Coturnix japonica: one gene and its partners. The protein of the gene in region 6 purifies or fractionates together with the protein of the main gene of each other region. This does not show direct contact. Links are inferred from orthologs where the notes say so. Each region holds a gene or a part of one and is shown on either strand. Other genes may lie near its edges. The genes, in order: NUDCD1, COPE, ARCN1, COPA, COPB1 and COPG1.

What was found.
Region 1: the proteins of COPG1 (region 6) and NUDCD1 purify together in Homo sapiens (affinity purification with mass spectrometry; 3 studies listed by BioGRID and IntAct, counting the BioPlex papers as one, with this or other methods). This does not show direct contact. The link is inferred for Coturnix japonica from reciprocal best matches to the Homo sapiens genes COPG1 and NUDCD1.
Region 2: the proteins of COPG1 (region 6) and COPE fractionate together in Homo sapiens (co-fractionation; 6 studies listed by BioGRID and IntAct, counting the BioPlex papers as one, with this or other methods). This does not show direct contact. The link is inferred for Coturnix japonica from reciprocal best matches to the Homo sapiens genes COPG1 and COPE.
Region 3: the proteins of COPG1 (region 6) and ARCN1 purify together in Homo sapiens (affinity purification with mass spectrometry; 6 studies listed by BioGRID and IntAct, counting the BioPlex papers as one, with this or other methods). This does not show direct contact. The link is inferred for Coturnix japonica from reciprocal best matches to the Homo sapiens genes COPG1 and ARCN1.
Region 4: the proteins of COPG1 (region 6) and COPA purify together in Homo sapiens (affinity purification with mass spectrometry; 6 studies listed by BioGRID and IntAct, counting the BioPlex papers as one, with this or other methods). This does not show direct contact. The link is inferred for Coturnix japonica from reciprocal best matches to the Homo sapiens genes COPG1 and COPA.
Region 5: the proteins of COPG1 (region 6) and COPB1 fractionate together in Homo sapiens (co-fractionation; 11 studies listed by BioGRID and IntAct, counting the BioPlex papers as one, with this or other methods). This does not show direct contact. The link is inferred for Coturnix japonica from reciprocal best matches to the Homo sapiens genes COPG1 and COPB1.

The regions. Positions count from the first base shown.
Region 1 is NC_029517.1:119,458,613-119,463,751, forward strand, and holds the end of NUDCD1 (nudC domain-containing protein 1), read right to left. Parts: intron 4,063-5,139; coding exon 3,770-4,062; 3' UTR 1,311-3,769; downstream 1-1,310.
Region 2 is NC_029543.1:2,778,028-2,782,233, reverse strand, and holds the end of COPE (coatomer subunit epsilon), read right to left. Parts: intron 3,483-4,206; coding exon 3,327-3,482; intron 3,070-3,326; coding exon 3,001-3,069; intron 2,550-3,000; coding exon 2,475-2,549; intron 1,930-2,474; coding exon 1,882-1,929; 3' UTR 1,578-1,881; downstream 1-1,577. UniProt on the Homo sapiens protein: The coatomer is a cytosolic protein complex that binds to dilysine motifs and reversibly associates with Golgi non-clathrin-coated vesicles, which further mediate biosynthetic protein transport from the ER, via the Golgi up to the trans Golgi network.
Region 3 is NC_029539.1:4,766,751-4,772,462, forward strand, and holds the start of ARCN1 (coatomer subunit delta), read right to left. Parts: upstream 3,898-5,712; 5' UTR 3,730-3,897; coding exon 3,727-3,729; intron 3,711-3,726; exon of another isoform or gene 3,696-3,710; coding exon of another isoform or gene 3,693-3,695; intron 2,493-3,692; coding exon 2,229-2,492; intron 1,656-2,228; coding exon 1,476-1,655; intron 1,258-1,475; coding exon 1,052-1,257; intron 631-1,051; coding exon 469-630; intron 300-468; coding exon 134-299; intron 1-133. Other genes in the region: IFT46 (intraflagellar transport protein 46 homolog), read left to right, coding at 4,005-4,307, 4,724-4,863, 5,057-5,131, 5,245-5,338. UniProt on the Homo sapiens protein: Component of the coatomer, a cytosolic protein complex that binds to dilysine motifs and reversibly associates with Golgi non-clathrin-coated vesicles, which further mediate biosynthetic protein transport from the ER, via the Golgi up to the trans Golgi network.
Region 4 is NC_029540.1:868,545-873,497, forward strand, and holds part of COPA (coatomer subunit alpha), read left to right. Parts: intron 1-412; coding exon 413-498; intron 499-872; coding exon 873-1,011; intron 1,012-1,336; coding exon 1,337-1,499; intron 1,500-1,608; coding exon 1,609-1,755; intron 1,756-1,897; coding exon 1,898-2,087; intron 2,088-2,200; coding exon 2,201-2,296; intron 2,297-2,482; coding exon 2,483-2,571; intron 2,572-2,806; coding exon 2,807-2,930; intron 2,931-3,183; coding exon 3,184-3,273; intron 3,274-3,371; coding exon 3,372-3,481; intron 3,482-3,650; coding exon 3,651-3,728; intron 3,729-3,906; coding exon 3,907-3,975; intron 3,976-4,194; coding exon 4,195-4,331; intron 4,332-4,736; coding exon 4,737-4,923; intron 4,924-4,953. UniProt on the Homo sapiens protein: The coatomer is a cytosolic protein complex that binds to dilysine motifs and reversibly associates with Golgi non-clathrin-coated vesicles, which further mediate biosynthetic protein transport from the ER, via the Golgi up to the trans Golgi network.
Region 5 is NC_029520.1:14,573,349-14,578,487, reverse strand, and holds part of COPB1 (coatomer subunit beta), read left to right. Parts: intron 1-196; 5' UTR 197-257; coding exon 258-348; intron 349-1,103; coding exon 1,104-1,333; intron 1,334-2,057; coding exon 2,058-2,227; intron 2,228-2,868; coding exon 2,869-2,983; intron 2,984-3,663; coding exon 3,664-3,756; intron 3,757-3,998; coding exon 3,999-4,136; intron 4,137-5,128; coding exon 5,129-5,139. UniProt on the Homo sapiens protein: The coatomer is a cytosolic protein complex that binds to dilysine motifs and reversibly associates with Golgi non-clathrin-coated vesicles, which further mediate biosynthetic protein transport from the ER, via the Golgi up to the trans Golgi network.
Region 6 is NC_029527.1:6,777,789-6,782,795, reverse strand, and holds the end of COPG1 (coatomer subunit gamma-1), read right to left. Parts: coding exon 4,995-5,007; intron 4,038-4,994; coding exon 3,940-4,037; intron 2,483-3,939; coding exon 2,344-2,482; intron 2,224-2,343; coding exon 2,125-2,223; intron 1,733-2,124; coding exon 1,602-1,732; 3' UTR 1,362-1,601; downstream 1-1,361. Other genes in the region: abasic site processing protein HMCES, read right to left, coding at 23-166, 1,062-1,244. UniProt on the Homo sapiens protein: The coatomer is a cytosolic protein complex that binds to dilysine motifs and reversibly associates with Golgi non-clathrin-coated vesicles, which further mediate biosynthetic protein transport from the ER, via the Golgi up to the trans Golgi network.

The DNA of each region.
Region 1 (5,139 bases), on a different chromosome or scaffold from region 6:
AAACAGTGGGACCCAACAACAACGTGGAGGCAGAGGAAGGGTCTGGAGGGTGAGATGGATGAGGAGCACTGAGGCCACTGGGGTTGGCCAACCCAGAGCAGAGGAGCTGAGGGGAGGCCTGATGGCGGCTGCAGCTCCTCGAAGGGAGTGGAGGGCAGCGTTGAGCTCTGCTCTGTGTGACAGCGACAGGGAATGGATGGAGCTGTGTGAAGGGAGGGGGGTGGGGATGAGGGACAGGGTCTGCACCAGAGGGTGGTAGGCATTCAGAAGTGGTAGGATGTAAGCAGTTCTGCTCCCCTTGCATTAACAGGATGCTTCTAAAGCATCATAAAGTACTTATCTCTAGTTTCCATAGGTTTCAAGAAATTTAGTTCACTTAATGAAGATTAAATAACTGATTGAAAAACAAATACTAATGAGAGGTGCTCATTGCCACCAGTTCTGAATTAATGTTCTCATATTTAAAGGTCTGTGAGTAATTCCAAATTATGGGAGTTATTAACTCATAGTTGAAAACACATCAATTTGTTATGGTGTAAACCACATTTGATATAGAAACGTATGTCAGAGAATCTTCTTAGATCTTGCTCCAATGCAAGTCCATCCCACAGGGCCCATCCTTCAGGAGCAGTGTGCTCTAGCACAGGTCCTCATAGGTAGCAGCTCCCCCAGCCCTCCTGCCTCACCATGGGTTCCTCCATGGAAGGAAATTCAGGAGTTATAGTGGTAATAACAGCCATTAATGAAACAAAGCACAGCAAATTGAAAAAAATATATATATAAGCTTCAGTTTTATCTGCTACTCTCTCAGCATCTACTGTTTCATTAATGAAGAGCCACTTTGTCACATAAGAGAAGTACAGACCAAACCCTTCCTACTCTTCGCTCTCCGCCCTTGGGTTGAGGACAGATGTGCAAAGCAGTTCAGTTTAGAAACATCTATCTAGATATTTGGGTCTTATATGCGCCAAAGGATTAGAGAATGCAATGTGCACTTTAAGACAATGATACAAATCAACACTCTCCAGAAACTACCCCCATAAATTTGTACGTTGGCAGATATAAGACATGGAAGAAGAAAAACAACAACATAATAACAATACCTTTAAAAAACAATACAGGAGTTTGCAAAGAACAAGGAGTGCAGCAGTGCATGTATTGGCAACATACATGACCCTGCAGTGCTGACAATCCCCAGAAATCTGTCTCAACAGAAAACTCCTTAACATAATCAGCATTATTTTAAGGAACCGCTTATTTCTATTTCTCTACTTTGTTTCAATAACACAGGAAATAAACAAATCCTTTAAAACAACTTAAAAACTTTTATTATTAAATTTGATATTTTTTTTTTCATTTAAATTTGTAGAAGTATACATGATACATTCCAAATACGCAGCCAACCAAGTGAAATACTTGTGAAAGTACACTGAAATAAAGAATGCAAGTTTTTAATAGTCCAATACATTCTAAACAGATTGTGATTGGGACATCTCAGAAAGCACTGTCCTCAAATGTAGGATTTTATTTCTTGAAATTTTACAAAAACAATGAAGAATGGTTCTCAGAAAACTGTGTCTTAAATATCCCCATTCTCTACTTTGTATATGCCTACAATAATATGCTAAACAAATAAGCCTTAAAATTAATTGAACACAGAAATGGAAATGCTGATAGAAAACGTCTCCCTGTGGCTTGCAGCCATTTAATTATAGCAGCTTGCTGTGCAACAGCATGCAAGGTTCCTCAAGGCAATGAATCTTTTAAATAATACTATGTCCTTAACTCTCAGAGAAAGTGAAATAAAAGAGACTGACATATCCTGTCTGAGAACACCAAAATCATGAACACACAAGCAACATGGAACATGAGATGAACTTCTCCCCATGTTCAGTTGTTCCCATAAGAACAATGACTCCCCTGAAACTGACATGTTAGGGAAGCATGTTTTTAGTCATTACATATTATAACAGTCTGCAAAGAGCTGATTATTCTACTTGGCTTTGTTTCAGCTATTTCAGAAGACAACAGAAGTTTGTTTCCAGATATATATGTTACAGCAAGGAGGAATTTCATAAAGACCAGAAATTCTCATCCATAGTCAGGTTACTATTTAATGTTCATATAAATCTCAATGTACTTTATGCTGGAAAGTAATCAGCTGCATGGACTGCTACATATTTCTACCATGTCTGTTCAGCATTGTTACTCAACATGAAATTTAGCTGCAAAAGTTATGTAAAAGTCATACATTCACTGAGGCTTTTTAACAAGTATTTCCAAGACAGTTTAAACAAAAATGCATGAGAAGTGAAGGTTTGCAGATGGAATCTGTTTTAACACACCCAGGTAACAAAAAATCTTTTCACAAATGGATATACAAAATAACAGTGACATAAAGTGGAGAAAAATCAGGCTCCTTGGAAAGCTGAACTTGGAGCTTCTTAATATCCCTCTTGAACTTCACACCATATCATTTAATCATTTGATACAAAACTACAGAGTTTATGCGCAAGCGAAAACAATCAAAATCAATCTGGTAGTCTGTAATAACAAAGGACATTTTCTTCTCAATATATTCTTGCAGAGGTCAAAAATAGTATTAACAAAGATGCAAAGTACTAGGATGTGTTTGACTCAGTACTCTGGTACCACAGAACATTGCAGCTTTTGTGACAGCACAAAATCTACTCATCAGGCATCCTTTGCTATAGAGTTTTATGTAAACTATGAGAATAAAAATGAAGAGGAAGTTGTCAAAACTGACCTTTTTTGGTTTAATTCTATTGACACTATCACTTTAAAATAAGAAAGAAATATTCAAGAACAGTTTTTCAACAAAATGATCCACTCCTGCTTGGTAACAAGCAACTTCAAAGCATCCTCATCATCTGTGCACTCTTATATTGGACACATACCACATCTGGACTTGTGCACTGGGTACAGAGTAGTCAAGAAATTCTGTTATTTATGGTGATATCTAAGGCAGCAGCAGAACCTTTGAATTTCCCATCTCAGGTTACAACACAGGTGCATTTTCTGTTAGCTAATAGCAAATTAGTCACTTAAGCACATCTTGAAATGAAAATGAGACATTGGTACGAATCAAAGTCTTACTGCATTCTTAATCATATCAACATCAGCTACGCATTCACTCCTATTCAGTTTTAAGAAAATTTCACTGGCATTTATTCCAGCATCTCTTAAAATGTGAATAGATTCCATTACAAGCACGAGTCAGTCACAGAATTTTACACTATCAATTTGGATATACAATAAAATATTTCCACTTGAGTTAAACTGTTTTTTGGCCAACAGTCTGTGCATTTGGATATTTTTTTTTAAGCACACGCAGTTCCTTACACTGCACGCTATATGCTTGTAGCATGAGTCTGTATTTTCTTTATCTGATGACTTTTTTTCAGAGGTAAAACTATCAGTTAAAATCAGAAGTGAACTCTCAAATTTCAGAAGTCTGGCAAGCAGTCACTGGAAAAAGAAATGCATAAATCTATTCACTTCTGCAAACTGCAGTCTCTAGAAAGCTGCTCGCACACAAGGCATTTTTATTCGCCTCCAAAAAAGCTCATTTCAGCAACAGTGAAGCTGAAATCCTCTCACTGACTTACAGGTAAGTTCTAATGAAAAAACCTGATTCCCCTGTAAAATATCTCCTTGTTAAACTTCAGCAAAATGTACCAAACTCCTCAGATCACTTACCTGGCCATTTCTTTAACATATAAACATAAACTACAGCAAAATATACTAATTAATTTCCAGCATTCACCTTTATCAAAAACAAGGTTTTTGTTGTGAGAACAAATAATCTTTCATTTGTAGCTTGAAAGCCTAAGATTGGATTGCTGGCTTCCAGAGTTGCTACCAGCTGCTTTGCAACCTGTCCTACTTGTCTTCCTTCCTTCCTGTTGTAGAGAACTGTGGTCAGAGGAGTTGGCTGGCGATAGATGAAAATTCGCCGCAAGCACTCGCAAAGAGCAGCATAGGAATAGTCTGGGGCACAAGCCATGAACTTCTTGTCTTGTTTTGATGCTTGAACATAACCTGCATAGCCCAGAAAGACAGAGAGAAATAGAAATGTAATATACTGACCTCAATAACAGTTTAAATAGCTGTCAAAATCAAGCTTAGCTTCAAAAATAATAGGCGATTACCAGGGAATTTTTGAATTCGCAACTAAAACAGGATTAGTAACACACAAGTGGTTTCTCTGCAGCCGAGCAGTGCTTGCACAGTAACCTTCTTCCAAATCTTTGCCCTGCACATCCAGTCAGTTTAGGGTCTCAAAATGATCCATGCAACAGAGACCCTCCTTCAACAAACTGCAGTAAGAAGAAGCAGGACCAAGCGCTGCTCCTTCAAAGTGTAGTAGATGCTTAGAATTTATCTGTAATCAGCTAAAGGTCTTTTCAAACATTACTCCCTTTCCAAGAGAAAGCTGACACAACAGACATCTGGAGCAAAACATACTTGGTCTTTTAGGTTTCCCTTTGGTTCCTTCCTTAAGTTTCAGTCCAAAACTTGGATTGAAAAAATAAAGTTAAAAAATATATATATATAACTTATTTTCTTTGTATTATTAATTAAAAATGAATTCCAAAAGTTGAAACAAATAAAGCAGAAAAGAGCACTAATATTATTATTTTGGCCAATACAATCAATACAGTAATATTGGAAATTTAACATAGAAAATATTCATTTCTAGAATTAGCTCTTGCAAAGCAGTTCAAAACTTGGTTGTAGAAAAACAAGCTGATAGTTTACATCATCTTCAGCATATAAAAGGCAAACTAGGTTAGCACAAAGTCTAGTTGGAAAATTCAATATAATAATGAGAAATGACTGTAAGTAGGGCTAAAGAATAATTTTTTTTTAATCACCACAGGTAAAAAAGCTCAAATATATAATTATTTTCAAAACAATAGAAAAACATCATTAGAACATTACTTAAAAGTCAGCATAGAAACTTGAAACAAGCAATAATATGAAAAAAAAAACCCTAAACCTTAGTCCTTATCATCTGTTTTCCAGTACAATGAAATTTGAAACAAGTAAACAAAGAATAAACTGTGAAATTAATCTCTTCTGTTAAAAAACAAAACCATTTAGAGCTTAATATGG
Region 2 (4,206 bases), on a different chromosome or scaffold from region 6:
TGCTTCTCCTTGTTCCACCTTGACACACCAGGAAGCTTTATCCTCTCCTTACAGTGCAAAGAAAGCAGGTGTTTCCACCACCCCATTAGAGTTACAGCAGGTGCAGGAGTTAAACCACGGGACTAAAGGCTTTGGGATAACGAGATGGACCTGGAGAAACACAAACCTCATACCCAGCCCTTATAACAGCCCTTTGAGATACCCAACATGGGCAGCCTGCATTCCAGCTGGATCATAGAACATAGAAATCATCAAGGAGCTCACAATTAAAAGCAATCGATGTGAAATGCTGACACAAAGTCTCTCCTTGCTGAGGAACCTCAGAGCAACGCGTTCTGCATCAGCCACCGAGCAGCAATTGGTGCCTAATGCACCTCAATGACAACCTGAGTGCAGCAGAAATACTCCCTACTAACCAGAAACAGACAAATAATCGCTCATAAATAGAAAACCCATCTATGGAACTCTATGTAAAGCGATGAGTTTGAAGCAATCTAAAAGTCATTGCTTTGCCCACAGCCATTCCAGCAGAGTCATTTCAACTTCTCTAATTGGTCTGGGGCAGCAAAGAGAAAACACAAACTCGTTCTTCTCAGAGCTCTGACCAACACATCCCCCCCCTCCTATTCTCACACTGACAGCGCTGGCTCCTACTATGGCACTTGCTTTTATTGTTTACGTTTTTTAAGTCAATTTATCATGGCCCATCAAGTGGGTAATGGCTGCCCTGAGCACACAAGCCCCTTTCACATCTCCCTCAGACAGCTCCACAAAGGAAACATTCATCCAAGACTGGACCACGAATAACCCCTCATTGAAAAGAGCTGCTCGCTAAACAAGCCAAGGAAAGAGACAACGAGCTCTTTCAGAGCGATCACAGCGAGGTGGGCACAAAGGAAATGCCAGTTGGACACATTTACAGTGTAGTATAAACCCCCTCTTCTGCCTCCCCCCCAAAAACGCTTCCCAAAAGATAAATTCAAAAGAGAAATCAAATATTAGAGCTCAGGAGGCCCCGCTGAGGGATCCAGATGGGATCTTCGTATCTCTGACACAACACAACCAACCAACACAAAGAGCAGCCTGAAATGCTGCACGGGAGTCCAAGGCATCATCACACGGTGCTCTATTATGTTCCATTACACGTCAGGTGCAACGACCATCACGTTTCTCAGGAATGACTGGGGATAAATAGACTTCTGCATGTATTGCAGGATGTACTTTGTTAAGAGAAAGCTCTAATGCTTTCCTGGCTCCAGGACACGAGATGTTGCATTTATCAACTTAAGATCAGGGCTGAGCCTGTTACAATTGGATTATTTCTATTCTGGGGAAGCTTTCCCTCTCCCCAGCAGTAACCCCTACAGCTGTGCATCCTTCTTCCGGAGGACGTTAACCTAAATGGAGTCATTATCAGACTGAAAGAACAGCCAGGACTCAGGATTCATCCACCAACCCAAGTCTGATACTTGAAGTGAACCTTCACACTCTGCCCCCATAGGTATAACATCCTCAGTACATGACATGGCTCAGAACAGAATCACTTCTGTTTACTAATTTACATTTCAGAATGTAAATTAAGGGGCACACAGATCCAGAAAAGGCTTTATTAGGAATGTTTAAGGTACAGTGTTGCAAACTTGATTCGTATTTTAAACAGTTGAAACCCCAAGAAAGCCACAACACAGGCTTTTTAGCTACCAAGTTCAAGTAGCTACACGTTATATACAGACTTAGCAACGCTCTCCTGCATTGCAAGACCCTGCCACAGTGAGTTACACCAGACCCAACTTGCAAAGGCCATTTTTCCATGTGACCAGAAAGGATCTGAATAACAACCCCACTTCCCAGGTACCATAGAGCAGCTCTGTTCCCCTCTCCTCAGGCGCTGGGGGCATATTGCATGGCCAGTCGGTCAAAGTCATTCTCCTTCAAACCAGAAACAAAAATATAATGAACTAATTTCAAACATTACTGAAAAATGTCATAAAACTTGCAGTAACTCTCAGCTATAGAGTTCTATCAACCAGGGCAAAATGAATTCTAAAAAGCAAACTGTCCACATCAGTTCTCTATGATTTCATTCTCCCTTCCCTGTTATCTTCCTCTGCCCATCCCCTCCATTCTTTCTCATCCAGAAGATTTTCTCTATTTAAGCAGTGTCTCAACCTAACAAACAAGTCTGTAATCTGGGTTAGATGGACCTCAAAGCATTTCTTTCCAGATGCCACCAAATTCAGGGTATACTTCATCTATATATGTCGTATAGATACTCAATCTGGATGTTGATCATTTCCCAATGCATCTCACAAGGGCTAGAAACATTGCTGGCAGTGGTTAGATGCTGGAGAAGGAACATGGGCCGACCCTTTCAGAACCATAGACATGCTTACTAGTAACAAATCCCTCTGCCCCATCCTCTTGTTGCTGTAAGTCATTATAAACTCAGTTTCATATCGCAAAATAACAAGTACCTTTGCCTGATACTCCTTTATGAACGGATGGTTTTTATGTGCATCCTTCAACTGTGACAAATAACGATTTGTAACCTGATGGGATGAAAAAGGGAGATTTAAATACTGAAATAACACCAAGAAAAGCCAAAAAAGTTTAAACCGATACTTCTATGACTTCGTTCTCAATGAGCTAAGAGCTGATTTCTTCAGCACCCTCAATGTTAGCAGCCCCATTTAAATCAGTAAGACCTTCAATAGCAGATTCAACAAAAGGAGAAAATCAAGCTCAGAACTTGGGAGATCTCTTTCTCCACCCCAGGTTTTCCTCTGAAGTACATACCCCTGTCTACAGACAGACTTTATTGAATACTGAATACCACCCCGCACCCCAAAACTCCAAATCTATTTTATTTTCTTAACACCAATCCCAGTGAGAACACAAGACTGCAAAACCCAAACGTTATCAGGCACAGTAGGAACACACAACCTGCCCCCAGGCAGAGCAGCCTGATCTGCTTCTTGAGTACCATAAAATAAGCCTCACCTCTGGTGGTTTGCCCAGGTGTTGTGACAGGACAACAAAGTTGATCAAGGTCTCAGGATGGCCACTATCCTGGAAAGAAAAACAATCACCTGTCTTTGTGACTTATCCCTAACACAATAAGTGTAACACCTGGCACTGCTGTGCAAGAACAACTGACGAGCCCGTAGCTCACTTTAATAGAACAGGTAGAGTAGAAGGCAGATGTTAATAGCAACCACTCTTAGGGACATTTTCATAAAGCATAATGAAATTCCTTGCTGTTATAGCCTCTATGCGTAAGAGATAGTTAGATTCAAGCCAATTTGCCAGGCAAAACCATTAAGTACCTTGTCCAGTGCCTCTTGAAGTACCCCCTCTGCATCATCCCACTTGCCCTGAGCCATATAGCAGGCTGCCTGCCCATTAAGCAGGAGGAGGGTGGAGGAGCATTTGTCTGCCATCTCTTGGAAGATGTAATAGGCGTCCTGTAACTTCTCACCACCCTGCAAAAGGACACAAGCATGCAGTTTCACTGTGTATTGCTAAGAAGGCTGTATTCTGTTTTTGTGGCTAAAGAAAGGGGCCAAGAAGTTAATTTGAAGGGTTATAAAATGAGCTATTGTCATTCACAGAGTCTCCTCTGAGAGATCACTGTAAGACTACAGATGAAAGGAATGCAAAAATATTAAATATTAAGAAGCACTTAAATGATCAAAAGATCAAGAAACATTTCAAAAGAACCACTTCAGAACACCGACTTAATGTTTGGAAGAACATTACAACGTAATAAAAGACTATGAAATGAGATCTTACAATTAAACCCAGGTACAGACACCTGGCTTTTCAAAACATTCCTGCTTTAGAAAGGTTTCAGATGCAGCAGCTTGCACTGATTAGAGGATGAATGTTTCCCTAGAGGAAAATAAGATCTTAAGGAAAACTCAGCCCCAGGTTACTGTTACTGTTGTAACAGGTTACTGCACGCATACCTTGGAGTTTACTGAATCTTAGGAGACTGGTTTCAAACACCTGACATCTGGACTTAACAGACAACACGTGTTTTTGGCTGATCTGAAACTCTTCATTACAATACAATTTCTTGCCAACCAGTTGCAGGCACCAAAAGAACAAGTTTAATGAGATGGTGGTAACTTGGTAAAAGGCCATCACAAACTAAGCACAGAGTCTTGTCTGAATGCTGTTTCTCAGATATCGTAGGCCAGGGAT
Region 3 (5,712 bases), on a different chromosome or scaffold from region 6:
ACTGCAGGCTGTGGTGACTCCTCCCACTTTCAATTTATTAGCTGAAAAGCCTGGGATAAGATCACAGCACACCAACACACACAAGTATTTGCCATTTTGCCTATACAACAGCATGGCACACCAGTCATGTTACCTGTAATTGCACTCCCCTCTTGTCTTCATTTTCTACATGCAGGCGAATTCGTGCAAATTTTTCATCAGAGATGTGCAGCATGATCATGCCATGCAGCTCCATATTCTGTAAGCCTCCATCACGGCCACAAGTCAAGGAAATTTTCTCCTCTATTTTCATATGCACGCTGGATAAGCAAGAGAAGAAACTAATGGTCAACAAGGACAGTCAACGCACAGTGAACACATGCTCCAAAGAGCATGATGGTCCCCAACAAAACGATACATACAGCAGCACACAGATCACAAAGCAGTGAGAAGACAGCTTTCAGAAGAAGCATAACACATAATACCTACCTCTCCATATTAATGGGCGGTGCAAGAACTTTGGCTGCTTCTGTAGAGCGTTTGCCTACAGAAGTCATGATATTTTCTCCCTCCGATTTCAGCTTGTCCACAAAGTTGTCCACCTCCTTCCCTTTGGCGCCCAGTTTCAAAGCTTTACTAGGACCTGATGGTCTAAACAAAACACACAAACACCTCCAAGTCAGTTCAGCACAGCAGTTTCATCCATCCTCAGTCTGATCTTCAAGTGTTGTAACTTCAACAATATTAAGCTCACTTCAGTAGCAGTACACACAGGAGGGGCCTGCCCTTCCCTATCTTCCTGTAGAGACAGAGTCACACACAGAATCCATAATTACAGTACAAAATGCTCCTTGCATGACCAGGGGGAGAGAAAGCTCTTGATTCCCAAAACACAGCACCAGCCTGACAAACACCAACAGACCACACCAGTGCCAGCCATACCTGACCACTCCCTTATGTACCCACACACACACACCAGGTACTTCAGCACCTGTTTATCCATGAAGACTCAGGAGGAAGCCAAACAAAACCCTTCAGACAGCACTAACTGCTGCCAACTGCACACACCTACCTGGACGGTGCTGGTGCCACTTTGGGCTTCTCTGTTTCAATGATGGTCTCTGTGATCATTGCTGCTGTTGTGCCCCCAGACACAGCTGAGCTGCCAAAGCCACCGAAGCCAGGCGCCTTCTTGCCCAGCCTCTCTGCATCCCTCCTGGCCTGCTGCAACTCCTTCGCTTTACGACGCATCTCAGCTTTTGCTTCACGTTCCTGAGTCTGAAATAAAAGATGAAAGCTGCTAAAGCTTTGCAATCTCAGTTTTATTCTGTACAGCTGCTCACGGTGTCTTCTTACAAACACAAAATGCCAAAGAATGGGTATTCAGTGTACAGGAAAGCTAAGTATCTTTAAAAGCCTTGCCAAAGTGGAGTAACACCTTTGCATAAAGAAGCAGTGCTCCCAAAGCACCTTGCACCACAATTAGTTCCACTCACCTCTCGGACAGCTCGGAACACCTTTTCTTCATGCGACTCCATCTCTGTGAAGGTCCGAATTTGTGCCAAGTTTACATTCTCACGGTAGCCCAGGGCAACAATTTCATCAAAGGCAAAAATCAGGTCAAAGCAGTGCTCAGAGATCTCATTCTCCTCTAGAGCTCGGCAATATTCAGGGATCTAGGTAGGGAAAAGCATTGCAAACAGATGTAGATGTGACAATCAGCACCCACTGAGCTGCTGTTTAAGATGAAGTTTTGTGACTATTTTTTTCCTTCAACTAAAACACTTATGGAGTCTTTCAGCACAGTTTTAACTTTGTAATTCACTACAAAACACACCCTGTGATGCTGCTCAGTTTCTTGAAGATCCTTCAGCTGCACAGATATAGATTATGAAGTTAATTAAAAAAACAACTGCAAAAACCCATGACTTAGAAATCCATTTAGAGCACTGCTATGCTTCTCAATCACAATGTGAAGCCAGGACTGAAGGAATGCAGTTGCTACCTAAAGAACATAGAAATATCTGACACTACATTCGCAGCATCTCTTTGGCCTCACCAGTTAAATGGCAAGCATGGATTTCTCACATGTAGTTCAAAATTACCACAGGAGCAGCAAAGGTTACTTCCAGGTCAGGAACAAGCCATAGATAACCAAGTTATGAGGTGGAGGCAGAGTGCTTCAGCACCAGCTTGCCACTGTTTGGGGCTACAGGTGTGAACACAGGACCCGACGTGTAGATCCTTACCACTCTAGAGAAGAGTCGGAGTGTTTCCAGGTCTTCCAGGATGTTGCTGTTTTTCGTGGTGATCAGCACCATGTAGAGCTTCTCCATCGGCTGATACACGTACCTCACGCTCTCTGTTTCCACAAAGGTGTGTTGCTTCCCAGTGTTCATCAGTTTGGGGAAAGCTGCCAGCAGCCCCTCGATGCGGGTTCGGGTCATCTCCACAAACTGCCGGGAGACGATGGCCTTCCCTGCCTTGGTGCAGACAGCTGCCGCCAACAGCACCTATAGGGACACAGACACAGCATTGAAAGCTCTCAGTCCTCCATTCAGGCTAATGCAACACCTTTTCCTATAGGGCTATGACAAAACCCCAGCAATGCTTTAGGCAAAAACTGACTTATCTGTTAGTTCAGCCCCAGCAGAAAAGTCACAATAAAGACCAGAACACTTTGAAATGTGACATCTCTTCCCAGTGCCACACTTAAACTAAGCCGGGTTAATAAAATATTGACCATTATATTAATTACAGCACGTGGATGGTTCTCCTGGGCATTTCACTGATGTTATCACACCAACAATAGAAAGGCATTAAGGTAACTGCCAATTCACCCTTTCTCATTCTCTCCGCCTCGACTTCGTCCTGAAATACTTCTCTCACAGATTAGTTTCTTAATTAACATAGTGAAGATAAAGCAGTTTCTAAAGGTAAGATCCTTTCACTCCCCAGCCAGTTTTAATCACAGTATCCTAACAATGAGAAGCACCAGAAGTTCTTCAGTGTCTGTACATTTCAAGCATGAACCCCAGCACGGCCAGGTGAGCAGCCAGCAACTGCTGTACATTGAGTGGCCATAGGAACCCTGTAGTCAGGGATATCTTGAAGAAAGCAACAGGCATAAGCCTCCATTTCCCAACTGCTCTTTGAAAGGGCTGTGAGTGCAGCACAGCACAGCACAGCACCGAATGGCACAGCTGATCTCAGCAGCACCTCGGCCTCTGTCACCAAGCAGCAGGTCCCGTTCGGGGACGGAAAGCTCACAGCTCCACGTCACCCACAGCCAACGGGACACAAGTGACCTCCACCCGAGCTGGCAGCTGAGGCAGCAAGAGACGAGGCCTGGTTACAGATGTCAGCCTTAACGCTGCAAGCAGCCTCCACGTTACACATCACGCAGCGCACAGCGGGCAGTGCCCCCCAACCGCCCTGCGGCAGCGCCCGGTAAGCGGAGCTGGAGGCTCCCACAGGCCGCGCCACGTCCGGGCCCGGAGCGCAGCGTCACCCGGCGGGGCAGCACGGCCTGGAGCGGCCCGGGTCCATCGCGGAGCTGCGGAGCGATCCGACAGTGCTCGGGGACGAGGCCAGAGAACGGCAGCGGAGCCGCCGAGCGATGAGCGGCCTGGCCAGGCCCCGCGAGCTCTCCGACCCCGGTCCGGCCGGCAGCGGCCCCACGAGCGGCGGCTGAGCTCTGGGCACAGCCTTACCATGGCGGCGGCTCATGGCCGGGCACACCCTTACCATGGCGGCGGCGCTCGGCTCGGCGCTCGCTCCCTCGCGGCTCCGCGTCCCCTCGGGCAGCCCCACAAGATGGCGGCGCCGAGCCACGTCCCCAGCCGGAAGCGGCGCCGCGCACGACGCGAGGGGCGGGGCGGGGCGGGAGGACCCGGAGCGCGGCCCTGGGGGCGGCCCGCGTCAGTACCGGCCCCGGCCGGCAGGGGGCGACACCCACACGCGGCTGCGGGGCCGGGCCGCGGGCGCCGCTCTAGCCGGGAGAGGGAGAGCGAGACGGGGTCGCCATGGCGACGGAAGGCGGCGTCATGGCGGAGCGGCGGCCGGCCGAGGGGAGCGGGGACGGGCCGGGCCGCGCCATCGCCTCCCCGCGACCCTCCGCACAGCCTCGGCCCGTGGAGAACCAGCCGTACGACGAGAGCCTGGAGCTGCCGGACACCGAGGAGGCGGCGGGGAGCGAGAACCGGCCGCAGGGATCCCGCCGGCCGGGGCCGATCTGGTCGGGAGGAGGCGGCACGGGAGCGCGGCCCAGCGGGGCGGGAGAGCGCGGCAACGACCGGGAGGGAGGAGGAGGCAGCAGCAGCAGCAAGGTACGGGGGGAGAGGGGCGGTACGGCACGGGACGGTACGGCATGGTATGGTACGGTATGGTACGGTACGGTACGGTATGGCACGGTATGGTACGGTACGGTACGGTATGGTACGGTATGGTACGGTATGGTGCGGTATGGTACGGTATGGTACGGTATGGTACGGTATGGTGCGGTATGGTACGGTATGGTACGGTATGGCATGGTATGGTACAATACGGTATGATACGGAACGGTACTGCACGGTACGGTACGGTATGGCTCGGTACAGTACGGTACGATACGGTACGGTACGGTACAGTATGGCACGGTACGGTACAGCACGGTATGGTATGATACGGTACGATACAGTACAGTACGGTACGGCACGGCACGGTACGGTACAGTAAGTAAGGCCGCGTCCCTCCTGCCCTGAAGGAAACAGTGGCCAGGCTGGGACCCTCCACCGCCAGCGAGGACGACGATGATGACGATGATGATGATGATGATGACGATGATGAGGATTCCTCCGAGAGCGACTCTGAGGACTCGGAGGAGCGCGGGGCTTCACTGGAGGGGTGAGCAGCGGAGGGAGCCGGGAACCCGTGGCTTAAAAGGGTTGAACAGAGTTGTGCACGGACAGGAAGCCTCTTACAGTGAGAGTGTCCTGCTTCTGCTTTGGGGCACAGCTGGATCCATGTTCGTGCCTTTGTTCTTGTACAAAAACTGATAGGAAGTAATGTCTGCAAGAATTGCTTTTCCTCTCTTCAGTGACTACAACCTCGCAAACTATGACTACCTGCCGGTATCTCCTGAAATTAAAGAACTCTTTGAATACATAAGGAGGTGAGTTGAAGGAGCTTTCGCCTGCCCTGGGTTCTCCTTTGTCTCAAGGTCTTTGTCTCTGGCAGGAAATGTCAATTGCCCACTATGCAATCCTGTTGTTTTTCTCTCTCAAGATACACTCCGAAAACAATACAGATTGAGCACAAACTGCAGCCTTTTATTCCAGACTTCATTCCTGCTGTTGGAGACATTGATGCCTTCCTAAAGGTACAGTGTTTTCAGATATCCCCATACCTGCTGACACACAGGGTGAAACAGAAGGTGGTTTAGATATGAGCCTGGCAGACTGCAGCCACACTGACCTGGTGGTAGCGAGGTGCCCTTGCCCTGTGCTGCAGATACTGCTGTAGACACCTAGGAGATCACAAATAGCAACACTATGACCTGGCTGGTCACTTTGGTAACATCCCACATAGCACATATGTAATTTGGTGCAAGGGCTGCCTGTTTCTTTGTCCAACACCTTATGCATTTCAGGTACCGCTGTGTTAACAACTCGTATTTTCTGCTCTTTCAAAGCATCACGCTTACAAATTTCTTCTGAATTGAGTCTGAATTTCTAACAACAGGGAGAAGCTGTA
Region 4 (4,953 bases), on a different chromosome or scaffold from region 6:
TGCCCTCTGGGGACGAGTCACAGCTATTAATGCACTCCAAAATTCAGCATCAGCTGCAGGCTGCATCAGTCTGATCCAAACCACGGCTAACAACTGTTAGGAAGAGCAGAGTGCAAACATAGCCAAGGTGTAATTTATGCTGCAGGCATTATGCCATTGATCACAGGGAGATGTGTGCCATAGCCTTGTAAATTCTGTGACTGTAGAATCGGGAGCTGTAAAAGTGCAAAGAAATCAAAAATCGCAGACTCAATCAAGCTAAACTTGCCCAACATCTTGTCCCTTAGGTTTTGTATCTGTTCAAAATGCTCTTAAAATTGCAATATGATAGCAAGCTTGTGCTATCCACAAAGAAACAGACTGGGAATATTGTTTTAACTCTTTAATGTCAGAGCTGTCTTTTTTTCCCCAGGACTCTGGCCTCGGTGAAGATCTCCAAGGTGAAATATGTCATCTGGTCAGCTGACATGTCCCACGTAGCTCTGTTGGCTAAGCATGGTAAGTAGGCAGGGCTGCAAAGTTTAACCTGGATCTTAGGGCGAGCTTGCTCCTTCCTTAGTTAAGAGCATGATCTGCTCAGAGCTCTGGCTAGCAGCATAGGTGCAGTTGGAGACAGATTCAGTGGACCCTTCCACTTTGTCTTCTTTAAAGTCTTATAGGACATGGGCTTTCTTTTGTTCCTCAGAGGATTCAGCTAATCTCTCTTTCACAAAATAAGGGCAGGTGGTGATTTCATTGTGATTGCTTTCATGTCCTTGGTGTTTGATTCTGATTACAGTCAGTATTTCTGAGGCTGTGGAGGAGGGAAGCTGTAATTCAAAGGCAGATACTTAATAGAGCTAACTGTACTGCCTTTCTTTTCTTGTCACCAGCCATCATGATCTGCAACAGAAAGCTGGAATCACTGTGCAACATCCATGAAAACATCCGTGTTAAGAGTGGTGCCTGGGATGAAAGTGGTGTTTTCATCTATACCACCAGCAACCACATCAAATACGCTGTCACCACAGGGTAAGTCTGGGGGGTCACAGGGTGAGTCCTTGAAATGATTGACCATGAACCATGGTGATTGTTTTTGGCAGACACTAAAGCTGGTGCTGCTGTAATTGTGCTTTTAGTACAGTGTGGGTGTACCCCAAGACAGAGCTAAATGTTTGGTCTTCATTTGTGGTTGGTTGCTTACACTGTTCACTGGGGTTTTATTGCTGGATTGGGTGGCTGCACTGTTCATCTAATTGGAGCTAAAATAATAATGTAGTGAGCTTCCTTTGAGATAGGAAGTGTGGCCATACAGATGTGTTGGTGTGTCTGTCACACGTGTACTGTGTTGGCATAGGGATCATGGCATCATCCGTACCCTGGACCTGCCTATCTATGTTACTCGTGTGAAGGGGAACAATGTGTACTGCCTGGACAGAGAATGTCGCCCCAGGGTCCTCACCATCGATCCCACAGAGTTCAAATTCAAGCTGGCATTGATCAACAGAAAGTATGATGAGGTGAGGAGGCATGAGAAACTACAGTGTTCCTTGACTGTGGCCTGAGGGTTAAGGAATGTGCCTTGTGAGTGGTGTTGTCAGCTTGACTGCCTGGGTGTTTTCTTTGCAGGTGCTACACATGGTGAGGAATGCAAAGCTTGTGGGCCAGTCCATCATTGCCTACTTGCAGAAGAAGGGTTACCCTGAGGTGGCCCTGCACTTTGTCAAGGATGAGAAGACCCGTTTCAGTCTGGCACTGGAGTGTGGCAACATTGAGGTAAGATGGTGGGTAGTGCTGTGAAAAGGATGTGTCTTTGGTTCTCTGCCCTGAGGGGGAGGGGGCAGAGAATTGAGCTCAAGTCTTGTGTTAAGCAGTTCCTTCAGATTTGTTGTACTAACCACATCAGTTCTCTTGTTAGATTGCCCTGGAAGCAGCCAAGGCTCTGGATGACAAGAATTGCTGGGAGAAACTGGGAGAAGTGGCACTACTGCAAGGAAATCATCAGATTGTGGAGATGTGTTACCAGCGCACCAAGAACTTTGATAGGCTCTCCTTCCTCTATCTTATTACTGGCAACTTGGAGAAGCTTCGGAAGATGATGAAGATAGGTGAGTACAAAAGTGAATGGGATAAGAGGAGCTGAGCATCATTCCCAGAGAAACGGCAGCAGCACAGAGAAGGCCAAGAAGAACAAAACTGACTCTGTTTTGTTTTGGTTTAGCTGAGATCCGTAAAGATATGAGTGGCCACTACCAGAATGCCTTGTATCTAGGAGATGTGGCAGAGAGAGTGAGGATCCTGAAGAACTGTGGACAAAGTAAGTAATAACAGATCAATGTGTTCCTCTCTGGCCTGGGGTGGTGCTGGAGAGTATTTTGGAATGACCACTAATTTTAGGAGAGAGATGAGAAACTGAACGAAGTGGATAGAAAGCTGGTCTGTGATGTTCTCCTTCTCCAGACAACAAAGGGCATGCATTCACATTAGTTGTATCTAATTTCAGAGTCCCTGGCCTATCTCACAGCTGCAACTCATGGCCTGGATGAGGAAGCTGAAAACCTGAAGGAAACATTTGATCCTGAGAAGGAAACGGTTAGCAACTTGATCAATGCTTCATAACAACAACAACACTGCAGTTTGGGATGGTTGACAATGGGATTTCATGTTAATTTGACCAGTTTGGCAGCTCCTTTTCTGGGAGTGGGGGCACCATCTTTGTTTCTTCTCACCACGTCCCATAGACTTGGAACTTTGCTGTGTGGAGCTGGGTCAAAGATGGGGATTTTCCTTATGTGGCCCTTAGCTGTTCTTCTCTTTTTCTGTTCAGATTCCAGACATCGATCCCAATGCAAAACTACTGCAGCCTCCTGCTCCTGTTATGCCTCTAGATACAAACTGGCCGTTGCTGACTGTCTCCAAGGGGTTCTTTGAAGGCACAATTGCTAGCAAAGGTATTTCATTGTACTTGGAAGGCTGTTAAGATACTCAGAGCAGATACAATTGTTTCTATGTCTACTGAGCTGTTGCTGTTAAACCCCACATTTGTTTTTACTACAAATCTATAGATTTTTGGATTTCAGAGTTGGTATTTATGCTGCCCTTGACAAATCTAAAAATCTGGCTTTTAACGTGAGTTTTGACAGTTATTTTCTTAATGCCTGACTTACTCGGATGTGCAAATGAATAGCCCTGTCCTTCTTTTAGGTAAAGGGGGTGCCTTGGCTGCTGACATTGATATCGACAATGTTGGCACCGAAGGCTGGGGAGAAGATGCAGAATTACAGCTCGATGAAGGTGAGTGTGTCAAACAATATTTCTTAGAGAAGTGAAAACGTGTGTCTGAGTAAGAGCTCTAACTGTTGTTGGTTTCTTTTCCTCCCCTCTCCATGCAGATGGCTTTGTGGATGCTGGAGAAGGCTTTGGAGAGGAAGGTCTGGGTAAAGGACAGGAAGAAGGAGGTGGATGGGAAGTTGAAGAAGATTTGGATCTTCCTCCTGAACTGGTAGGGAGTTCTTTGAGTCATTGATGCTTTTGGAAGGTGCTTGCAGCTGGGGGTTGGGAGGGAGAATACTGATCTGGGCTTCATTAGAAGCTTGGTCGCTACAGCTGTGGCCACCTCTGATTTCATCTGAGTGCTGGGAACTAATCTCTGCTCTGTGTTGTTCCCTTAGGATGTTCCTGCTGGTCCAGCAGGAGGAGCAGAAGATGGTTTCTTTGTGCCACCCACCAAGGGCACCAGCCCAGCTCAGGTAACATCACAAGTCTTTGATGTTTTTCAGAAACTTTCTACCTTGATGCTGTTTCATTTCTTCCAGATTTAGTCTTTACTAATATTCATCTGTGTGCACAGCGCAAGAACTTATTAAGGGGATTGAGGGCAGTGAGTGTGTGTATATGCACAGTATGATTTCCCTTCCATTCTTGCAGGTGTGGTGTAACAATTCACAGCTTCCTGTTGACCACATTCTGGCAGGTTCCTTTGAGACAGCAATGAGAGTAAGTTACACTTGGTGTTTCTGGGGGGAAGGGAGAGGGGAAAAAAGGTGCCCTTGTCCCCTTCTGTTTTTGTCTCTGCCCTCTGAAGCTTTGTTCTGTGAATCATTCTGTACATTTCTTTCTCTGGATGTAAATTAAGAGGGTCTGTGAGCCTGAGTGGTGTCTATGCAGCTTCCTTATGGCTCTGGACAAGTCAGTACATCATTGTATCCCTTTCAGCTCCTCCATGACCAGGTGGGAGTAACGAACTTTGGACCCTACAAGCAGCTGTTCCTGCAGACTTACGCCCGTGGCCGTACAACCTACCAAGCCCTGCCATGTCTCCCTACCATGTATGGCTACCCACATCGCAACTGGTAAGCAATATTGGGTTAGCTCCTCTTCTGTGCTCTTTTCCTGTTGCCATATATCCACAAGTCTTCAACAGTTATAGCCCAAATTAGTTAGGTGTTCTACCTCTGCTAGTCGTCTGAAGGTTGGGACATCTAAAGAAACATAGATGTGTATTTCTACTGTGATACTGGGGAAACTGCAGTGGAAAAATAAGTCAGACTTTTCCATCCTGTGTTAATGCAGCGAGAGCTTGGCATTGAGGGTGACAACTGTGGAAGCACAGGTGTTGTTTATGCTATGCTAATGGTCAAGAACAGCACAGCTCTAGGTTACAGTGCCATTAAGTTGCAGCTGTGTAATGCTGGTGTGTACTGGCTGGCCTCTGTGTTACTCCTACTTCTACTCCATCCCTTCTGTGGTGCCTCTAGGAAAGAAGCTGGCATAAAAAATGCCCTCCCAGCTGTTGGGCTGAAGCTCAATGACCTGATCCAGCGCTTGCAGCTGTGTTACCAGCTCACAACAGCTGGCAAGTTTGAAGAGGCTGTGGAGAAGTTCCGCTCCATCTTGCTGAGTGTGCCCTTGCTGGTGGTGGACAATAAGCAGGAGATTGCTGAGGTGAGGGGTAGACCTCTTCTGCCTATTGTC
Region 5 (5,139 bases), on a different chromosome or scaffold from region 6:
TTGGGGAACGTCACGCTCTTGGGTTTTTGGGTGTTTTTTGTTTTGTTTTTTTTTGTAAAATGGAAGGTATTTCAAAAGTGGCTTCTCAAGAAATCCAAGCATCTTCAAATGATTAAGTCAGCTGGAAAATCATTTTTATGTTGTTTGTTAGTAAAATCTGTTAACTCTGGGATGGCTTTATTTGCTTGTTTTTTAGGTTGTCTGATACTTGTGTCAAAATAAATCTCCCGCTGAGAAAACATTAGTAACCAGGAGCCATGACTGCTGCTGAGAACGTGTGCTACACGTTAATCAATGTCCCAATGGATTCGGAACCACCTTCTGAAATCAGCTTAAAAAATGACCTAGGTAAGTAATGGATGCTGATTATTAGAAGGATCATCCATCATTCCTGTATCACTCTTCCATAGTGTCCTTACACTTTTGCTGCAATATCGTTTGCATTTCATAAAATCAAGCAAATGAGTGTTTATCTTATGTTGATGTTTGAAATGTGTAAATTCTTCTGCTTGCTGTTTGAGAAGCTTGTGATATTTATCTTATGTGACTTTTTTGTCCAAATTCTGAGTAGAACTTTGACATCTGTTTCAGTCTTCATGCAAAACAATACGTGTTGAGGTCTGGGCGGGCTTAGCTAATGGAAGTATGTCAGTCACTGTTCTGTACACAGCTGTATCTTTCTTGTCAGTATTTAGTATGATACCAAAGCACATCATAGTATCCTGGTGTATAAGAAAGATGGTTTAAAGCAGTGAAACAGGAGTAAAATGATTGTAATATCACAGTGCATTGGAGTATTCTGATTTGAAATGCTGTTTCAAAGCATTGAAGCAGTGATGCAATCTGTTGAATTCATTTAATTCCAATACATTGATCCCAGAAATAAGTCTAAACTCTAGGCTTATTCTTTAAATACCTCTTGCTTCCTCTTTATGCTCTTAGAAGTGAGGGTGTGGATTTTATTGAGATGTTAAATTGCACTCTGTCAGGGAGAAGTTGTATCTTCTGACCAGAAAACAGCCGGTCCTATCAAACTGTCATGTTAGCCTTCCTAAGTATACAATTACAGTGATTCACTTTCTTGAATTTTCTATCCACTCTAGAAAAAGGAGATGTCAAGTTGAAGACAGAAGCCTTGAAGAAAGTGATTATTATGATTCTGAATGGCGAAAAACTACCCGGGCTTCTGATGACCATTATACGTTTTGTGCTGCCTCTCCAAGATCATACCATCAAAAAGCTGCTGCTTGTCTTCTGGGAGATAGTGCCGAAGACCACTCCAGATGGCAGGCTTCTGCAGGAAATGATCCTTGTCTGTGATGCATACAGAAAGGTAGCTCCTTGTTTACTTTACTACCTATGTTCACACACTGTACTTTTTAGAAAGTGTTTCATTTTCTGTTATATAAAATATATGAAAATGTCTTATGCTCTGCATTTCCTTGCAAACCATTTTGTCTTAATGCTTCATAGCTGGCTGAATTGTAGGTAACCAGCAAACCAACTACTAATGAATCTTCATGTTGCTTGTTACAATTAAACGTTAAATGCTTGATCTTTCCAAGTCGGAGTCTTGAAGATGAGGGGTGACCTCATTACCACCTCCACAGTGTCCTTGGACACACAGTGGATCAATAAGAGTAGATGCTGTATTTGGCATGTCTTCATTGCAGTGTATTTGGGATACTCCATCACAAAGATAATCCTTCATTTGCTGTGGGAATAGACTGCAAGCAGATGAACTAATACACAGTAGAGGTTAGTAGCCACTGTGCTGGAATGCCTGCAGGGTGAGCTTTCACAGGCTTAGGAGTCACAAACAATATGTGCAGTGCAGCAGAAAAAACTTAGGACTTGCAAGTTTTATTACACAGATTTGCTCATTTTAAATTTCATTGGACTTCAGTATTTAATAAAAAGGTAAGGAAGCATCCTCAAACTTTTGGAACTTGCTGTATTGAAAAACTTAACTTGGGAAGAGGCTAGCAAGTTCATTCACCTGAGCTTAGCAATTAAACTGTAGTGTCTGACATTTCAAATGTGCTTCTTGATTGTAGGATCTTCAGCATCCAAATGAGTTTATCCGAGGCTCTACTCTTCGTTTTCTTTGTAAGCTGAAAGAAGCAGAACTGCTGGAGCCTCTGATGCCAGCCATCCGTGCGTGCCTCGAGCATCGTCACAGCTATGTGCGCAGAAATGCAGTCCTTGCAATTTACACCATTTATAGGTAAATGCCAGAAACTGTTTCAAGTGGCTGCAGAAGGCTGTATTTGGTGGCCTGGGTGGCTTGTGAGACCTAATAAATATTTATCAATCACTAATTAATTTCTGGGAGCTGGGAGGAAGAGAAGGTTGCCATGGGGTGTGGTTTTTTGTTTGCTTTTTCCTCTGTAAAGAACCAGTTTGGAAAAGTGGAAGGTACTGCTCTTGCTTTTGTAGCTGTCGCTGAGATTCTTATATTGCAGGTTAATATGTAAGGACAGATGCCTTTCTTAGTTATCTAAACTTCATAAACAGTAATTGTTATCCACTAATATAAAAAGAGAAAAATCTTTACAGGAGTATAAGCATATAAATTTATTTGAAGTAAGACATTCTTCCTCTACTCCGCTTACATACTGAATGCTATTGCTTTTTTTTTCTTATGTAAACACTATGACCAAGTGTTGCTATTAAGCCGAAATCATATATGGAGTCATATTTTATCTGTCATAATAGCAGACAATTTTTTTGCTCACTGGGCAATGACTGCACAAAAGCTTTATGTTGCTCTTTCATGCTTTTCATATTCAATTACGCTGCATGTTCTCCCCCTTATCAATAGTCTTTGAATTATGGAGAAATTTTTTTTATTTTTTTTTTTTTAAGAAATTTTGAACATCTTATACCCGATGCTCCTGAATTGATCCATGATTTCCTAGTGAATGAAAAGGATGCGAGCTGCAAAAGAAATGCATTTATGATGTTAATTCATGCAGATCAGGTAAGGATACTTGCCCCCTAATTTCTTTAGAGTAAGTATCTGAAAATGCCCTGGGTAACCAGCCAGTAATTTGTTAGAAGTGTGAACATATTCATAAAAAAACAAACAAAAAACATGCATGTGACAGCTGTACATGAGCTGTGGGCTGTTCATTAACTGTAGATAAATTAACATAGGTCTTTAGTGCTGTCCTCATTTTAAAGGACAGTTGGCTGCATTCGAGGAAGACGTATGTTGTTGCTGGAAACTGTAATCAGTATTGTCTTGTGAGCATTACTGGACTGAGAAGACTCCCATTATCTATCATTTTATAGCTTTTGTAGTTTTATGAGAAAGAAATGGCAAGTTCTGTTCATTTGCTATGCTGGCAATTGATCCTTGTGCCTGATTACATGTTAAGCGTGTCTTGCTTTTTGCCATGTGTAGCCAGAGTTTATTAATTTGGTCTTCACATTTAACGTTTCTCCATCAGTTCTGAGCTTTCAGTCGAAAGGTTGACTGTGTAGTTTTGTTCTGATCGCTGATATGGGTGAGAGGTGGATGTTTGGACTGGATGATCACAGAGGACTTTTCCAACCTTGGTGACCCTATGACTCTCTGATTTTTAAAATGTGCTTTACTTTAAAATGTAGCTGAGAACTCTGAAATAACTTAGAATGATTTGCATTTTATTTGTTTAGGATCGAGCATTGGATTATTTGAGTACCTGCATTGACCAAGTCCAGACATTCGGTGACATTCTACAGTTGGTTATTGTTGAGCTGATTTATAAGGTAAAAGGGAAATATATTGTGATGTATTTAAAACAATACAGGTTCTATTAGAGCCCTCAGCAGAACAGTTAGAACACAGCTGGAAAAGGCATTTTAGCCACTTGTGTGTGTCATTCCAGTATTGCATACTGTTTTCGGTTAAAGTTTAAATAGCTTTTTAAAGTAGATTTTTGCAACTGTGAGTGATGCTTCTTATGCCCAGAAAAGGTTGCCACCATTTGCTTAATTTTCTTTGTATGTAGGTCTGTCATGCCAATCCATCAGAGAGAGCTCGCTTTATTCGCTGCATCTACAACCTGCTACAGTCATCGAGTCCTGCAGTGAAATATGAAGCAGCAGGAACACTAGTTACGCTCTCCAGTGCACCGACTGCAATCAAGGTATAGAAGTGCTGTTTCCAGACATCCCACTACCTGCTGGTGCACTGTAGTGCTGTGTATTATACCTTGTACTTTTGAAGTATGAAGGCTTCAGGAAAATGTCAGTTTTGACAGTTCGTGTGTAAAACTGTCTTAAAACGTCTCTTAAAATTGCTCAGAAGAGACTAGGACTGTATGTTGCAGATTTGTGGCTGGTGGACCTCATGCCACTTGCTGATGGACAGGCTTGTGCATCTGTGCAATTTATCACAGTAGTTGGTATCAACCTGCTGTTTTCTTGACCTTCTTGTTAAAGATGACCAGTATTGAAGATTTCCAGAGATTGAATTACTTTCATTACTCTGAAATGTGATTCTTTTTCAAAGTGGTAACGCACGGCTTTGAAGATCTGTGTTGATTCCTGCTTGACCTCACATTCCTATTTATCTTTGTGGTGTTGATTACTTGAGATCATAAGGGAATTCTAAATTCTAATGAAAAATAGAATATACCAGTCTAGAATAAGAGTAAAAATATTGTAAATAGTAGCTTCAAAAGAAGTGTATTAATTCAGGTGTATTAATTCTTACATTCTTGCTTTAGTGCAGTCATTTTCCTTGAGTATGTGTATCATACGGAGAAGCTGTCATTAAAACCATATCTAGATATGCTAACACTGTCAACTATTTTAAATTCATTTTTATGTCCTGTCCTATACCTAAGATTTGACTCAAAGCATGCAAGGAAATTTATGGTTTTGTTTGAATTTGAAATCAAGGCTGTGAATTGTAAGCTGTGCATCTTCCTGTGGTGTTACTATAACAAACTGATGGAACCATCTTTGTGGTTTATCAGAAAGTTTAAACACTTCTCAGGTTAATTTCGGTGCCAACTCATTGCATTGTTGCTCTAGTAGATAAGTAAAAGCTGTCTTTTCCTGAATTTGTCTTCAAGATTTGCCCAGTTTCCTACTTTGTTACTTACATAAATATTTTTGTTCCTTTTTAACGTAGGCAGCTGCCCA
Region 6 (5,007 bases):
TCAGACACACAATGGGGCTCACCTTGTAGGAGGACTTGCTCAACATGGTGTCACTGCGGCAGTTTGAGGTTTTAAACTGCATTTTGGAGGGGTCGTCCTCTTTGAACCAGGAGGGCACCAGGCCCCAGCGCATCTCCATGAGCACCCGCTCTGAGGAGTCAGCATCCTGCAAGCAAAGCAGAGCAGCACCCTGCAGTGATACCAGCCTACAGACGAGGCTGCATCGTGTTTATCAGGAGCAACAAGCTCGGTTTCTGTGGCAGGATAAGGACGGTGATGTGGCTCCATCCCTCCTCTGGTTAACAAACAGCTGGTGCTGAGGTTGAAGAGAACATCCCGGGGGACACAGAGTTCACCTTTATTTGAATAACGTGATTTCTGGTTCACTTTCACTCTTTGCATATTGCCTCAGCTCGGGCAGTGGAAACAGAGCGGTGGCTTTCACTTCCTCCTGCACAGCGCTGTGTTGTGCCTGCCCAGAGCAGCACAGCTGTGAGCACAGAGTGCGGCTGCACTCAGACACCATGGGTAGATGAGGATACACATAGAAACGTGCACTGTATCCCACTGAGCTCCCCCAAGCACCCACACCCCGACCAACTGAGGGGCACCCTGTTCCAACTGCCGGGTGAAGGTGGCTGAGAGATCCATGTTATGCTTCAGGGTGTCATCGCAGGGCTCAGCCTGTGTCTCCCTGTGCACATATAGCTCATATAGACCATGCACAGCCGCCAGCTGTGGGTTGGCCATGGCTCAGTGCCCCCACTTCGGGCTGTTGGGGCTCAAATAACGGTAACCCCAGCGGTGTCACCTCAGCCCAGCCCAGCCCACAATACAGCTCCAGGCTGCTGGGAGAACCCACAGCAGCTCCCGACCGGCCCCCGCAGCAGCGCAGCCCCGACTCCCCGCCCTCCTCGGTGCCGCGCCGATATGAACGAGATACTTTCGTAACACGGACTTTGAGAACCAAAACAAGCGGCCACCACCACCACCCAACAACCCTCCCCGCCCCCCACACCCACATACCCCCCATCCAACCCCACTCCCCGCGGGGCCGTTACCTGCTGGACGTGCTTTCTGGACAGCAGCACCGGGCCGCAGGACTGCGGGCCCTTGTTGTACGAGGGCCGGTAACGCTCCTCCCGCAGCCACTCGGGCTGTTGTCTCCGACCCCTCCGGTCTCTATAGGCGCAGGCCCGGCGGAGCCGCGCGGCCCCGAGGGAGCAGGCCGTGCGCCCGCACATCGCCGCCCGCAGCCCCGCTCTGCCCCGCTCCGCCCCCCGGAGGTGGGGCCGGCAGGGGCGGGGTGTGCGGGCACCGCGATGAGATGGACGGCAGGGAGCAAAGCCAGCATCCAGAGATGGAGGAGGAGCAACGAGAGGCTTTATTGTCAGCTCGGGAGCTGCCGGGATGGCGGCTGGGGGAGCAGCTCGGCTTGGAGCCGCCCATCAGGGCAAAGCGGTTCGTAAAATCAGAGCTTAAAAACAGCGTTATTTTACAGACAGAGCCCCGCATCCAGGTCCCCAAATGCACTGATGAAGCTGCTGCGGTGAACGTGATCCCTTATCCTCCCCTGGCACAGAGGAGGCGGCGGGCAGCGCTCAGCCCACAGAGGCCATGATGACATCCACAGGGAGCTCCTCCGCGCTGCGGGCCGTCACCTGCATCGTCACCGTGTCGGTCAGCAGCAGCCGAGCCCGGAGCAGCAGGTCGTGACCGCCCCGGAACACACCTGGAAGGAGGGGACAGGAACGGGGCGGGGGGTTAGAAGGGACCCCACGTGGGAACTCTCAGTCACAGCGAGCTACACTTGTAATACGAAGTGTCCAGCACTCGGCCATGGGCTGGGCAAAGTGCCACCCTTCTCCCCTCAATCTCCTTCCAGAACAGGATGCTGCAGCTCAGCAAGGCTGCAAGTCCCACCCAGCTGAGCCTCAGCTCACCCCAGTTCCAATAGCAGCCACCCTACACTTGCAAAAGACACAAAGCGATGGCATGGGGTCCATCCCAACCCCACGCAGGGCTCAGGGAGCACATCGGGAGCTCAGGGAGCACATCGGGAGCTCCTGCTTTGACTTTCAGCTCAGTGCAACCTTATGGAGCCGCTGCTCCAGCACAGCTCACCTGCCAGGTACAGCGTGTGAGAATTTTTGTTATCTGGCACTTTATCCGACCGCTCGCAGGGCTGCATCCCCAGGAACTTCACGATATTGCTAACGGCCTCTGTTAAGAAGAAGTACAACATTGCCTTGACAAGGACACACAAATCCTCTTTGTGTGTTGCGGTCTTTGCTCAAGGGAGGGAAATGTTAAGAGCCCTGCTGGGTTCAGACACTGCCTTACCTTCAAGGGTTTTAATTGCAGATAAAGTAAAGGTTTCTTCCTTTTCGTACTCATCACCCACTTCATCCCAAGCAGCTCCAAAGTTGGGCTTCAGAACTCGCTGGATGTGATCAGCCACTGTTACCTCAAGATCTTCAAGCTGGAGGTAAGAAGAGGCCCAAGTGAAACAGGGTTGTTACTTACTTTGCCTTCTCCAGACTGAGCTGCAGACTGGATTCCCTGAGATCAGGCCCAGGAGACAAGTCTTCACTTCTACTCAGGAATAGATCAGAGCAAGCTCTGTCCCTTCTAGTTTGTTCAAGCAAAGAATTAATTAGTTGAGCAGCTGCTTGTCCTGGGAAGCCAAGCTGTGCCACTTGCAGGGCTCACAGAGCAGGTTCCCAACCTGAGCTCAGCCCTTGGCCTGACAGGGATCAGAGCACCAGGCAAACAGCCAGAGCAGTGGACAAGACATAAAAGCTGCTGGCGCTCACACTGCTGTGCCATCTGCTGCCCTAGAACGCACATAAGCTGGTATTTTACCTTCCTGGCCTCTTGTTTTGTAGGCTGGTAAAGTACCGTGAGACACAGTCAGATGTTTGCTGTAACATAAGGCTGCATGCCAGGATAGCTGAACTGCTGCTGTGACTACGTCTGTGTAAGAAACAACTGTGTTGGTTCCCCTGGAGCACATATCTAAGAGCAGTCAGTGCCAGAACTGGCCTGACATTCACTGTAGCAATTGCTGCAGGAAAGAATCTCCCCTTGAATCTAGTTGAAACAGATGGAAGAGTTTGTTTAAACATCACTCTGATGCCCTGATGCCTGGTGGGAAGCAGGCAGAGGGGTCAGCCCTACACATTCCTGTGGTAAAATCCCTCCCCAGTCCTTCTGGGAGGATGCCATGTCCTCAGTGACTCACTGCACAGCAGTTCCCCTCATCAGATTCACAACAGAGACAGGCAACACAGAGAAAACAGCTTCTGAAGGTAACAAGGCAAGCTGAATTCGTGTCACAACATCCCTTCATCTCTGGAGGGAAAACACCACCCTCTGGGAGGCAGTTCCAGTTTTTGACCAAGCATGAGCTTCCTGTGTGATAAAACAGCCAGGAGACAAGATTTCACAGCATCAGTGCTTTCATCAGTCTCACTGCTAAGGAGGTAATGCCAGAGGAAGAGCAAGGATGGCAGTCCTCCTATATCAGATAGACCACTGATAATTAACCACAGAGAGCAATTCTGGTGGGAAGAAGAGATGGCCAACAGCATTCTGTCCCCCAGAACTGCCCGTGCCACTGCTGGAGCCCATAGGGCACAGCCAACCAAGCCCAGGGGACACACCATTGCCTCCCAGAATGCAAGTTCCCTGCATACCCAGGGGTCTGCCTGGAGAGCAGCAGGAGGATGCTCCAAACGAGACAAACAAGCTCTCCAAACACACATCCTGCATCTTGGGACGGACACCACAGGGGTAGAAAGACTCCCATCTCCCTGTGATTCCATCTGCAGCAGTGTCAGTGGGCACACCATTGCTTGCATGGCAAGTTACTGGGTACAGATCACAACACTCCTCATGACGACTGCAGTTTGATGTGGCACGTGCCCAGCTCCTTACCACATATTCATCCTCGTAACCCTCGTCGTCTGTTTCACCCGTGTTTGGATCGCAGTCCTTGACAGTGAATTTCATCATGCAGCTGAATGTGCAGGCCACTGCAGGCAGGGGAGGCAAAAGCAAAGCTCACATTACCACCAGATCCATTCCTCTGCAGGAGAACAGGGCTGGGAAACTTGGGGCAGGTGGGTTCTCCCCCTCCCAGTCAGCAGCACAGGCTTAGCACATGACCTAGAAAGTGTGCTGACAGCTTCTTTCTCTCAAGGACAAAGTACTTATTTGTAATGCTAGGGCCAGCAAACAGTGATAAATACAGACTCCCGATGGCTGCACAATAATCTTCAGATCAAGTCCTGTTACTCATGAATATCAAGTTGTGTTGGGAATACAAACTAAGCGTGTCCCATCAACCTCTTGTGAAGGAGGTGAGACCCTTATCTAGGGATCAGTTCATACACCTTGGAAATGAAACCACCTTGCACTGCAGCACAGCAGATGATTAATATCGTTCAGCTGGGAGAGGAAGCAGTGACTCATCTCTGAAGGCAGGCACTGCTGCATGAAGGGCAGCAGCACACAGGTGAGCAGCCTCAGAACAAGCCAGCAATCAAAGCACAGACTGGGCCTGGTTTATGTTCTGACAGTGACAAACAAGGGAATGCCCTGGAATTCTGGCCATTTGTCTGAAATGCTCCTTGAGTACTCTGTGCCCTCATGGCAAATCATAGCAAAGCAGACAGCTACTCGCCTCCCCGTGTGCTAAGAGCAGGCTAAAGGACACACCAGGGTGCAACAAAGACATTTCAGCAGAGATCTGAGTGCTCATCTGCCAGTTGCCACAGCCCAACAGTGTTTTAACACAAGGGAACCAGGAGGAGAAGGGAGGCCTGACAGCCAGCCCTCAAGCAGCAAGGAGAAGTCATGCTTGGCATCACTCAGGGATGCACCCACACACAGTCTATAAATATCTGCAAGGTAGAATGCATGTGGGCGTAAGCAATACGGTATGCTTAATTTGGGGGAATATCATGGAAAACAGAGCACAAACTGTTTACCTGCTGTTGGATC